Saccharomyces cerevisiae S288C: one gene and its partners. The gene in region 1 interacts genetically with each later gene. Each region holds a gene or a part of one and is shown in the gene's direction. Other genes may lie near its edges.

Region 1 (3,658 bases):
TAGACAAGACAACTTTGAATGTTTCGTTGAAAGAGTCGTTCTTGTATAACAGAGACTTGAAACCGGTTGAAGAAGAAAGAAGGTGTTGGTCCTGGTTCAATTACTTATATTTCTGGCTGGCAGACTGTTTCAATATTAACACATGGCAAATAGCTGGTACAGGTCTACAACTAGGTCTGAATTGGTGGCAATGTTGGCTTACAGTTTGGATCGGCTACACTTTTGCAGGTATCTTCGTAGTATTGAACTCGAGATTTGGTTCCGCATATCACTTATCTTTCCCTATTACTGTTAGGGCCTCATTTGGTATATTCTTTTCTATGTGGCCGATTATAAATCGTGTCGTGATGGCTATAGTATGGTATGCCGTGCAAGCCTGGTTAGGTGCAACGCCCGTGGCACTGATGCTAAAATCTATTTTTGGCAAGAATCTGGAAGATAGAATCCCAAACCATTTTGGTTCTCCAAATAGCACTACTTTTGAATTCATGTGTTTCTTTATATTTTGGGTGGTCAGTATACCATTTGTCCTAGTGGCTCCTCATAAAATCAGGCATTTATTCACAGTAAAAGCAGCTTTGATCCCCTTCGCAGCCTTTGGATTTTTAATCTGGGCTTTGAAGAAATCGCACGGTAAAATTGAGTTGGGGACGCTGAATGATTATTCACCTCATGGTTCCGAATTTTCATGGATATTCGTTAGATCCCTAATGGCCTGTGTTGCTAACTTTGCCGCTTTGATTATCAACGCCCCTGACTTCGGTAGATTTGCCAAAAATCCTCAAGCGTCTTTGTGGCCACAATTGGTTGCCATCCCATTGTTCTTCGCCATAACATGTTTGATCGGTATCATTGTTACTGCGGCCGGTTATCACTTATATGGGGTTAACTATTGGTCACCACTGGATGTACTTGGTCAATTTTTGGAGACCACTTACACCAGAGGTACTAGGGCTGGTGTGTTCTTGATTTCTTTTGTATTTGCCTTAGCTCAACTGGGTACAAACATTTCTGCCAACTCTCTGGCATGTGGTGCTGATATGACGGCTTTGTTTCCAAGATATATTAATATTAGAAGAGGTTCTTTATTCTGTGTGGCAATGGCTCTATGTATCTGTCCATGGAACTTAATGGCCAGTTCAAGTAAGTTCACCAGCGCTTTGGGTGCTTATGCAATTTTCCTTTCCAGTATTGCTGGTGTCATTTGCGCGGATTATTTCGTAGTAAGAAGAGGATATGTGAAATTAACACATTTATTCCTGGCACAGAAGGGTTCCTTTTACATGTTTGGAAACAAATTTGGTGCCAATTGGAGGGCCTTTGTTGCGTATATTTGCGGTATCGCTCCAAATTTACCAGGTTTTATAGGTGATGTTGGAGCTCCAAAAATTACGGTTTCAGAGGGTGCAATGAGGTTATACTATTTAGGTTATCCGGTAGGTTTCTTTATTAGTGCGGTGATATACCTCATATTATGTTACTTTTTTCCTGTCCCTGGTACTCCCGTAACCAATTTTCTGACAGAGAAAGGATGGTTCCAAAGATGGGCTTATGTTGAGGACTTCGAGCAAGATTGGAAGAATGAGTTACGTAGGGATGACCTCTGCGATGACACAGTCAGTATCTATGATGGCACCGAGGAAAAGATAGTTTACTAAATAAAAATCCCAATTTATTCTCTTACCAGTAGTGATCAGGAGAATTGATAATTTCTTCAAAACACCTTAATATTCGTTCTGTGTATTTTTATGTACCTTTCTTAATCAAATTTATCAGCTTCATACATGCATTCCCGTCTGAATAATGTACTGATGATTAGCTAAACCGTCATCAACCTACCAAACTTGCGCTTGTTTGAGCCTATCAGAACTCCGGATAATTCCGACATCTTATCTTTGACTCGAATTAGCGATAAGATAAAAACACAGGAACCACAATGAAATTCAGCTGGAAGAAAAGTCTAAATTATAGACACATTTTCTGAGATCAAATGCTATAAAGGAATGGAAGTGCATTTTGCTATGATATGGGGAAATTATGAAGCCGATCAAACAATTAATTGTATCTAATCGGTCTCTTCTTTAGAAAAATGAAGTTTTTTAGTTTGGCAGATGAGGCAGAATTTAAGTCAATAATCATTTCAAAAAACAAAGCAGTAGATGTTATAGGATCTAAGTTAGGTGGTCAAGTGGTTTCTTTTTCAGATGAATGGTTTGCTTCTGCTGAAAATTTAATTCAGCCAACTGCTCCTATAAGGGATCCTACCAGATTTGTTCATTCAGGCGCATGGTACGACGGCTGGGAAACACGAAGACATAATGAGATGGAATACGATTGGGTTATCATCAAGATGGGAGTCGCTGCTGCCCATATTATTGGTGGTGAAATTGACACTGCGTTTTTCAATGGTAATCATGCACCATTTGTATCAATAGAGGCGCTCTATGACGAGGGCGAAGAAGGTAATATAGTGGAAGATGACTCGCGTTGGGTTGAGATTGTTGAGAAATTTGAGTGTGGTCCTTCGCAAAGGCATCTTTTCGTTAGAGGCAACGGCCTTACTAAAGAAAGGTTTACTCACATCAAGCTGAAGATGTACCCCGATGGAGGAATCGCCAGATTTAGATTATACGGAAGAGTTGTTCCTCCAGAACTCAAAACGAAGGATCATATAATTGACTTGGCTTATGTTTGCAATGGTGCTGTCGCTTTAAAGTATTCTGACCAACACTTCGGTTCAGTTGATAATTTGCTACTGCCAGGTCGAGGTCATGATATGTCGGACGGCTGGGAAACCAAAAGATCGAGACAACCAGGTCATACTGATTGGGCGGTAATTCAACTGGGCAGGGAGTCTTCTTTCATTGAGAAGATTATTGTTGATACGGCACACTTCAGGGGGAACTTCCCTCAGTTCATTACCGTGGAAGGTTGCTTGAAGGAGTCAGAATCAAGTGAGAACACTGGTGAAGGAACATGGGTAGAGCTAGTTGGTAAGTCAAAGACGGGGCCTGACAAAGAACATGTGTATGAAATACGTAAGAGTATAAGAGTCTCCCATGTCAAATTAACGATTATTCCAGATGGAGGAGTGAAAAGAATAAGAGTTTGGGGGTACTGATAAATACTTAACTACTGTATATTTTAAACCAATGCACTCTTGGCACTTTAAAAGTAAAGGTATAAATGTAGTTAAAAGTTTTTGTTTTGATAATTGAATGTTTTCATTTCGCTATCCCCACGCTACTTTATTTACTTCTTCTTCTTCACGACAAAACATTAAAATTTACACTCTATAAAAAACAATCATATTTCTATTTATTTTTGTGAGTTGACAAATCTTATCATAGTGATTAGAATCTGTAAACCGATCTCAATCGTGTCCAGAAACAGCGTGCCATCCCTTTGGAATGTTTTCGCCAGTTTATTTTGCAAACCCGAGAATCCTGCACAACCTAATATTACAATGTCTGAATCAAGCTTTTTAATATTTTCGCGATATATAATTTCTGCTATCTGCTGGAAATTTTCTGGACTATGTAGGTCGAGGACCTGTAAATCAGTAGATACCGTACCTTTCCATAAATTTTTGTTAACTGTATTCCCTGTCAAGAATTTCGATTCCACAGAGTTATTCAATATTGGAATCCATTCTTTA
Region 2 (2,924 bases), on another chromosome or scaffold:
AGTACCGTGATATTTAATTCTAAAAATTTAGATACGTTTCTCAATCAGCTAAGGGATTTCCTCAACGAAAAGATTAAATTAGCGGACATTTTATTCAAAGATGAGTTCCCTGTAATATTACAGTTCATCGAGTCCTTTATCCAAGATATTTTATTAGATATTTTAAACAATATCTTATTAAGCTATAGTGAATTTTTAAAAGAAAATGGAAAGGATAGTAAAGCCAATTATGAATGCGTACCCGAACTTTATTTCACATTTATAAAAAAGTTTGATACTGAATTAAACGACTCAGTAAACGCAGGCGCAAATTTCCGTAAAGTTGTTCGTGACCTTTTAAACCTGTATCTCGAGCCCTTTGTTGTCAACTATATGAATCAGACAACTAGAGTATTTGAATCATTGATCAACTCACAATTAGCTAATTATGACACACAAGTTCAAGACAAGCAGCGTGAGCAAAACGCAAAAATTTATAACACTTTAAAAGATCAAACGGATGCTTCGAGTGCAAGTAACAATGAATTGCCGAATGACCTCTCAATAATTACTGAAACCTCCAAAACTGTCCCAGAAGCGGATTCAAAACCAAGTACGATCCATCAATCAGTTCATTCAACTGATATTTCTAATGATAAACTAGACTTTCTAAGTTCCTTCACCAAGATTTTCAAGTTCTCGAACAATGAAAATCAAAGGCTAAAGCAACAACTACAACTAGCCTACAACTTAAATTTAATTTCCAATAACTTGCAAAACATTAAATCGTTAATAAGTCTCGATTTATGTTACAAAATTTTACAGGAAACAAGCGAAAAGACGGATCAAATTTACAAATTTCATACGATTGAAAGTTTGCTACCATTGATCAAGCTACGCTGTCAAGAGATTTTCAAAATTTTAATTACACAATTGAATAAAAATCACGTTAAACCTGCATTTGAAAAGGCAATCCTGCTACTACAAAAATATAATCCTAACGAAATAGAACAAATAGAAATAAAATTCAATTCACTTTCGCCAGCCAATACTCAAGTCGAACCTTTAGTACAATTCACTGAACTTATCAATATAGGTGACATAATATTACAAATGATTTCCATTTTTTACAAGAACGAATTGATTCCCAAAAAAATTATCGATAAAAATAAAGATTTTCTTAATGATGTTATCCAATTAAAAAAAAATTTTGAGACTTCTATCGATGATTTTGTAGCCGAAGGTTTAAATATCGGTATAAACAAACTAATGGATGAAATCTCATTTGTATTCAAGACTCTTCAATTGCCTGACGATTATAATCCACCGCCACCCTCTAGGAATTCTCCAATAAGGGATATAAAGCCAACCAAATGTGCTATCAGGGTAGTCGAGTTACTTTCTAATCATTGCTTTCTACTGACTGGTGCCACAGACAAGGGTACTATTGACGTGTACCAACAAGAAATTGGCGAGAGATTCTTTAATGAAATCGTCAAACATCTGAAGAAGTGCTTCATATCTACGGAGGGCGCAATTTGGTTAATCTGCGATTTAAATTACTTTTACGATTTTATTGCTAACAAATTAAAACAAAAAAATGTTGTTCCCTATTTTGTTGGGCTTAAGTCTATTGGCCAGTTATACATCATTTCAGGCAAGGACTCGAAAGAGTTGGGAAAGCTTATTTCTGATCTTGGGAAATTCAATGGCATTTTTACGCAAGAGGAAATTTATGAATTTGTTCAGAGGAGAAGCGATTGGGTTCGTGTACGGAAAGACGTTGAAAAGGTAATGTACGGCCTAGGCATACGAGATTGCTGCATTATGTAAATTCCTATCAATGATTAATTATATTACTCTATATAGGTATGAAGTGCGGAAATAAAAGACTGTTCACATATTAGATTATTCAAGATTACGCGGGCTCTATTTTTCCCTGTTAGCCACACGCACACAAGGGGCATACAAATGTTCACTCCATTTATAAGAGGATTCCACACAAGATCATCGATAACATGGTTCAGTACGCTCCCTTTCTATTAGGAAAGTATGTTCATTCTTCATACGCTATTCTATTTTTTTTTTTTTCACACTTATTCTTTTACTAACGCATAGTTAACCATTTGCTGTTTCGAAGAGGCAACATCAAACAAGTCGATGTGCTCTTTCCCAAGCTGGTCTCTATTGCAGATTTTCTGATCCGTTATTGGCAATTATGGTAGGCTGTCTCAGCTACTATGTGTACGAAAGGAAAATGGGGCGTCCACAAGGTCATCATTTACACGAGCTCATAAAGAAGCGATGGGACGATCGCAAATAATAATCCGGCGTGAGGGGAGTATATATAAGTTTCTGGCGATATGTAAATACCATAATAATTAATCCTAGGATCTACCTTTATACGCATTTATCCTATAAAAACCCAATCTTTCAGATCCACAGTATTTTTATATGTGTGATTTCCTTGATTGTCTCAATTTAAAGAGTAATACATACAACTTAGACCAAAGAATTATTCAATAGATGACGCCGAAAGAATCTGGAAAGCCTATTTCGTGTGCAATGAAGAAGTTGAAAGGCAAGAGATCTAAGATTTTGGTTTTATCTAGAGATGCGGGCACCAACGAATTGAAGCCAACGAAAGGAAGAGCACATCGAGCTTGCATAGCTTGCAGAAAGAGGAAAGTACGATGTAGTGGTAATATACCATGTAGACTTTGCCAGACTAATAGTTACGAATGCAAATATGATCGCCCCCCACGGAACTCATCGGTATTTGATAGGGAAGTAAGCGATGATAGTTCCTTATATGCACAGAGAGCTTCCCACGAACGGGAAGATAGCAAGGGCCCTATAAGTTCCATTGATTACAAAAAGGTTGTAGAGACGATCTTTCCACCTGAAACACTCCGTCAAATACTTGCTTCTTCTTCTTTTAACAG
Region 3 (3,762 bases), on another chromosome or scaffold:
AGGGAATACAGTCAACCATTTTTTGACTGGAGGCATGAAATGGTAGAACATGGAGAGGAGAGTGTAAAACCGTGTGGTTGTCATAAATCGAGAAAAGCAAAATGCTTCAAAGAACTGGAGATGGAGAATATAGAAAAGGGCGATATAAAGAAGAGTCTCTTTTACAGAGACATAATTGAATGGTGCAGAGACTATGAAGTCAATAAAACTAGGGAAGTCTGTGTTCCGTCTATACACGAGTTTTACCTACATGGAAATGGAAGTGACAACCTCTTTTGAAGTATAGCCATGCATATAAATATATGTGTGTGTAAGAAAATATTAGAAGTTTTCATAATCTAGAAATGTCAGGCTTTGGGCCTAATGGCACTATACCAAACTGATTGATCTTGTTCCTACTTACTTCCATCCTGATGTAAAAGAGCTTAATATGATTAAAATCTGTAGTAAATCTAAACTCTGCGTAATTCCAGTATAGATTAATCAACCACAAATGAAGGTACGGGAAACCATCCCTTATAGTTTTCAAATTGCATTTGAAGTGCTGCACGTACACGACGTCAAATCTAATTATTGATGGATACAATCTGATATCCGCTTCAGTTAACCTCTGTCCTAAAACAAAATATTTAGCCAAGATTTTCTGTTTGTTACCACTGAATTGCTCCTCTAAGCGCTTATAATTTTCTTTTAGTACACATTCCATCTTCTGCAAGTTTTCAAACAGTGTTTTTACTTCAGTTTCGTAAATCTTTCCGTTTTCTGCTAATCCGACTTTATAGACACCAAGATTAATCTTCGGATGAACCCATTTGATGTTCTTATCAATCTCGTCTATTAAATCATGCGGAACTAGATCAATCACGTTCGTTTCTTCGCTTTGGATAAATTCATCAAACACGCCACTGTTCAAAATTCTTATGATATCGCCACTCTCATTGTTAACAATTTTCCTTGTTTTAGAATCCCACAGAACAGGCACAGTGAACTTTGTACCGGGGTACTTAGGATCATTTAAGTAGTACAACTCGCTTAACCTTGATATATTTTCCACCGGGTCGAAAGCGCCATCCACGAACAACCTTGCAGAGTCATTGTTCACATCACCTAACTCCTCAGATTCGTCTAATTTAGCTGAAGCAATGCCACCAGTGGCAGTAAAGAATCTCTCTTTATATTTTTCCGGCCGGTGTGGAGCAGGTAAGAAACGGGCACCCTTGGAGTCTAATTGCCAGTGAGATAACACAAGCCCTAGAACAGGTTCTAATTTCTTCAAAGACCTGGCAAGAATGGCTCTATGAGTGAATGGACACCCAAGGGCCCCGTAAATATAATACCTTCCTTTTTCTGGTTTAAAAACAGAATGTGTCTTAGAAATTGTTCCCTTGTAAGATACTGACATGGCTTACTGTTTATGATTATTTTTACGAGTATTTTCCTCTATAAGTGGCCATCTCTCCAATTGGCAAAGTCAAGACTTTTGTTATGTCAATATGTGCTACCAAAAATCAAGGGTATTTTCCCACCAGAGCTTATCAATGGCAACTGTGAGATATGAACAGCAGTTAGTAAGGGTGTGTTCTCATCCGACCCTCTGATTCATTTGGTGGCCATTACATTTTCCCTCAATGACACATTCCCCTATTTCATAACTGATTAAAATGGTAATGGCACGTGATAGTAGTGGCTCACAAAACAAAATTTTCTTTCTCAGCGCTGACAAAGCTTCATTTGCATTCTAACCTTATCACAACAACTTCAACTTCACCCAAGTAAGGATAATCAGCTCTGTCGTGACTGATAAATGCTATATCCGGCATATGCAGTCCACACGGCATTACCGTTTCACTAATTTATTGCCATCTTCCTCCACAGTTTTGCACCGAAAGGAAAAAAAGAAACCAACACCGAAAATTTTTTTCTCCTAAAGGTTAAAGTAAACGCAAGGCACTTCACCAGGCTTGTATATATAAATGTCGTGATGCTTCTATGCCAAAGTAAAAGGCAACACTTGAAGATTTCGTTGTAGGCCACTTGCTCAAAGGACATCTAGATAAATACGACGTAAGAATAAAAATGACTAAATCTGAGCAGCAAGCCGATTCAAGACATAACGTTATCGACTTAGTTGGTAACACCCCATTGATCGCACTGAAAAAATTGCCTAAGGCTTTGGGTATCAAACCACAAATTTATGCTAAGCTGGAACTATACAATCCAGGTGGTTCCATCAAAGACAGAATTGCCAAGTCTATGGTGGAAGAAGCTGAAGCTTCCGGTAGAATTCATCCTTCCAGATCTACTCTGATCGAACCTACTTCTGGTAACACCGGTATCGGTCTAGCTTTAATCGGCGCCATCAAAGGTTACAGAACTATCATCACCTTGCCGGAAAAAATGTCTAACGAGAAAGTTTCTGTCCTAAAGGCTCTGGGTGCTGAAATCATCAGAACTCCAACTGCTGCTGCCTGGGATTCTCCAGAATCACATATTGGTGTTGCTAAGAAGTTGGAAAAAGAGATTCCTGGTGCTGTTATACTTGACCAATATAACAATATGATGAACCCAGAAGCTCATTACTTTGGTACTGGTCGCGAAATCCAAAGACAGCTAGAAGACTTGAATTTATTTGATAATCTACGCGCTGTTGTTGCTGGTGCTGGTACTGGTGGGACTATTAGCGGTATTTCCAAGTACTTGAAAGAACAGAATGATAAGATCCAAATCGTTGGTGCTGACCCATTCGGTTCAATTTTAGCCCAACCTGAAAACTTGAATAAGACTGATATCACTGACTACAAAGTTGAGGGTATTGGTTATGATTTTGTTCCTCAGGTTTTGGACAGAAAATTAATTGATGTTTGGTATAAGACAGACGACAAGCCTTCTTTCAAATACGCCAGACAATTGATTTCTAACGAAGGTGTCTTGGTGGGTGGTTCTTCCGGTTCTGCCTTCACTGCGGTTGTGAAATACTGTGAAGACCACCCTGAACTGACTGAAGATGATGTCATTGTTGCCATATTCCCAGATTCCATCAGGTCGTACCTAACCAAATTCGTCGATGACGAATGGTTGAAAAAGAACAATTTGTGGGATGATGACGTGTTGGCCCGTTTTGACTCTTCAAAGCTGGAGGCTTCGACGACAAAATACGCTGATGTGTTTGGTAACGCTACTGTAAAGGATCTTCACTTGAAACCGGTTGTTTCCGTTAAGGAAACCGCTAAGGTCACTGATGTTATCAAGATATTAAAAGACAATGGCTTTGACCAATTGCCTGTGTTGACTGAAGACGGCAAGTTGTCTGGTTTAGTTACTCTCTCTGAGCTTCTAAGAAAACTATCAATCAATAATTCAAACAACGACAACACTATAAAGGGTAAATACTTGGACTTCAAGAAATTAAACAATTTCAATGATGTTTCCTCTTACAACGAAAATAAATCCGGTAAGAAGAAGTTTATTAAATTCGATGAAAACTCAAAGCTATCTGACTTGAATCGTTTCTTTGAAAAAAACTCATCTGCCGTTATCACTGATGGCTTGAAACCAATCCATATCGTTACTAAGATGGATTTACTGAGCTACTTAGCATAAATAAGAACCCACGCTTCAAATAAAAGCAAACATAGAAGCAAAATCCGTCATTCCTTTCCTATTCAATTGCACCGTTCTCTTTATATAACTACTTAATTAAATAGCGCCTATACGAAGCAGCATTGTTCTATTATTTTTACAAATTCCTTATCATGCATGCAT

Evidence for each region.
Region 2: mutations in DAL2 (region 1) and NCE101 together harm fitness more than expected from each alone (negative genetic interaction), as found in Saccharomyces cerevisiae (2 studies listed by BioGRID).
Region 3: mutations in DAL2 (region 1) and CYS4 together harm fitness less than expected from each alone (positive genetic interaction), as found in Saccharomyces cerevisiae (one large-scale study listed by BioGRID).

The regions. Positions count from the first base shown.
Region 1 is NC_001141.2:408,718-412,375, forward strand, and holds DAL2 (allantoicase), read left to right. Parts: upstream 1-2,089; coding exon 2,090-3,121; downstream 3,122-3,658. Other genes in the region: DAL4 (allantoin permease), read left to right, coding at 1-1,658; DCG1 (Dcg1p), read right to left, coding at 3,319-3,658. UniProt on the Saccharomyces cerevisiae protein: Utilization of purines as secondary nitrogen sources, when primary sources are limiting.
Region 2 is NC_001142.9:49,517-52,440, reverse strand, and holds NCE101 (Nce101p), read left to right. Parts: upstream 1-1,997; coding exon 1,998-2,029; intron 2,030-2,172; coding exon 2,173-2,302; downstream 2,303-2,924. Other genes in the region: RCY1 (Rcy1p), read left to right, coding at 1-1,812; YJL206C (uncharacterized protein), read left to right, coding at 2,506-2,924. UniProt on the Saccharomyces cerevisiae protein: Involved in a novel pathway of export of proteins that lack a cleavable signal sequence. May be part of the export machinery or may also be a substrate for non-classical export.
Region 3 is NC_001139.9:796,467-800,228, forward strand, and holds CYS4 (cystathionine beta-synthase CYS4), read left to right. Parts: upstream 1-2,076; coding exon 2,077-3,600; downstream 3,601-3,762. Other genes in the region: YGR153W (uncharacterized protein), read left to right, coding at 1-279; GTO1 (omega-class glutathione transferase), read right to left, coding at 332-1,402.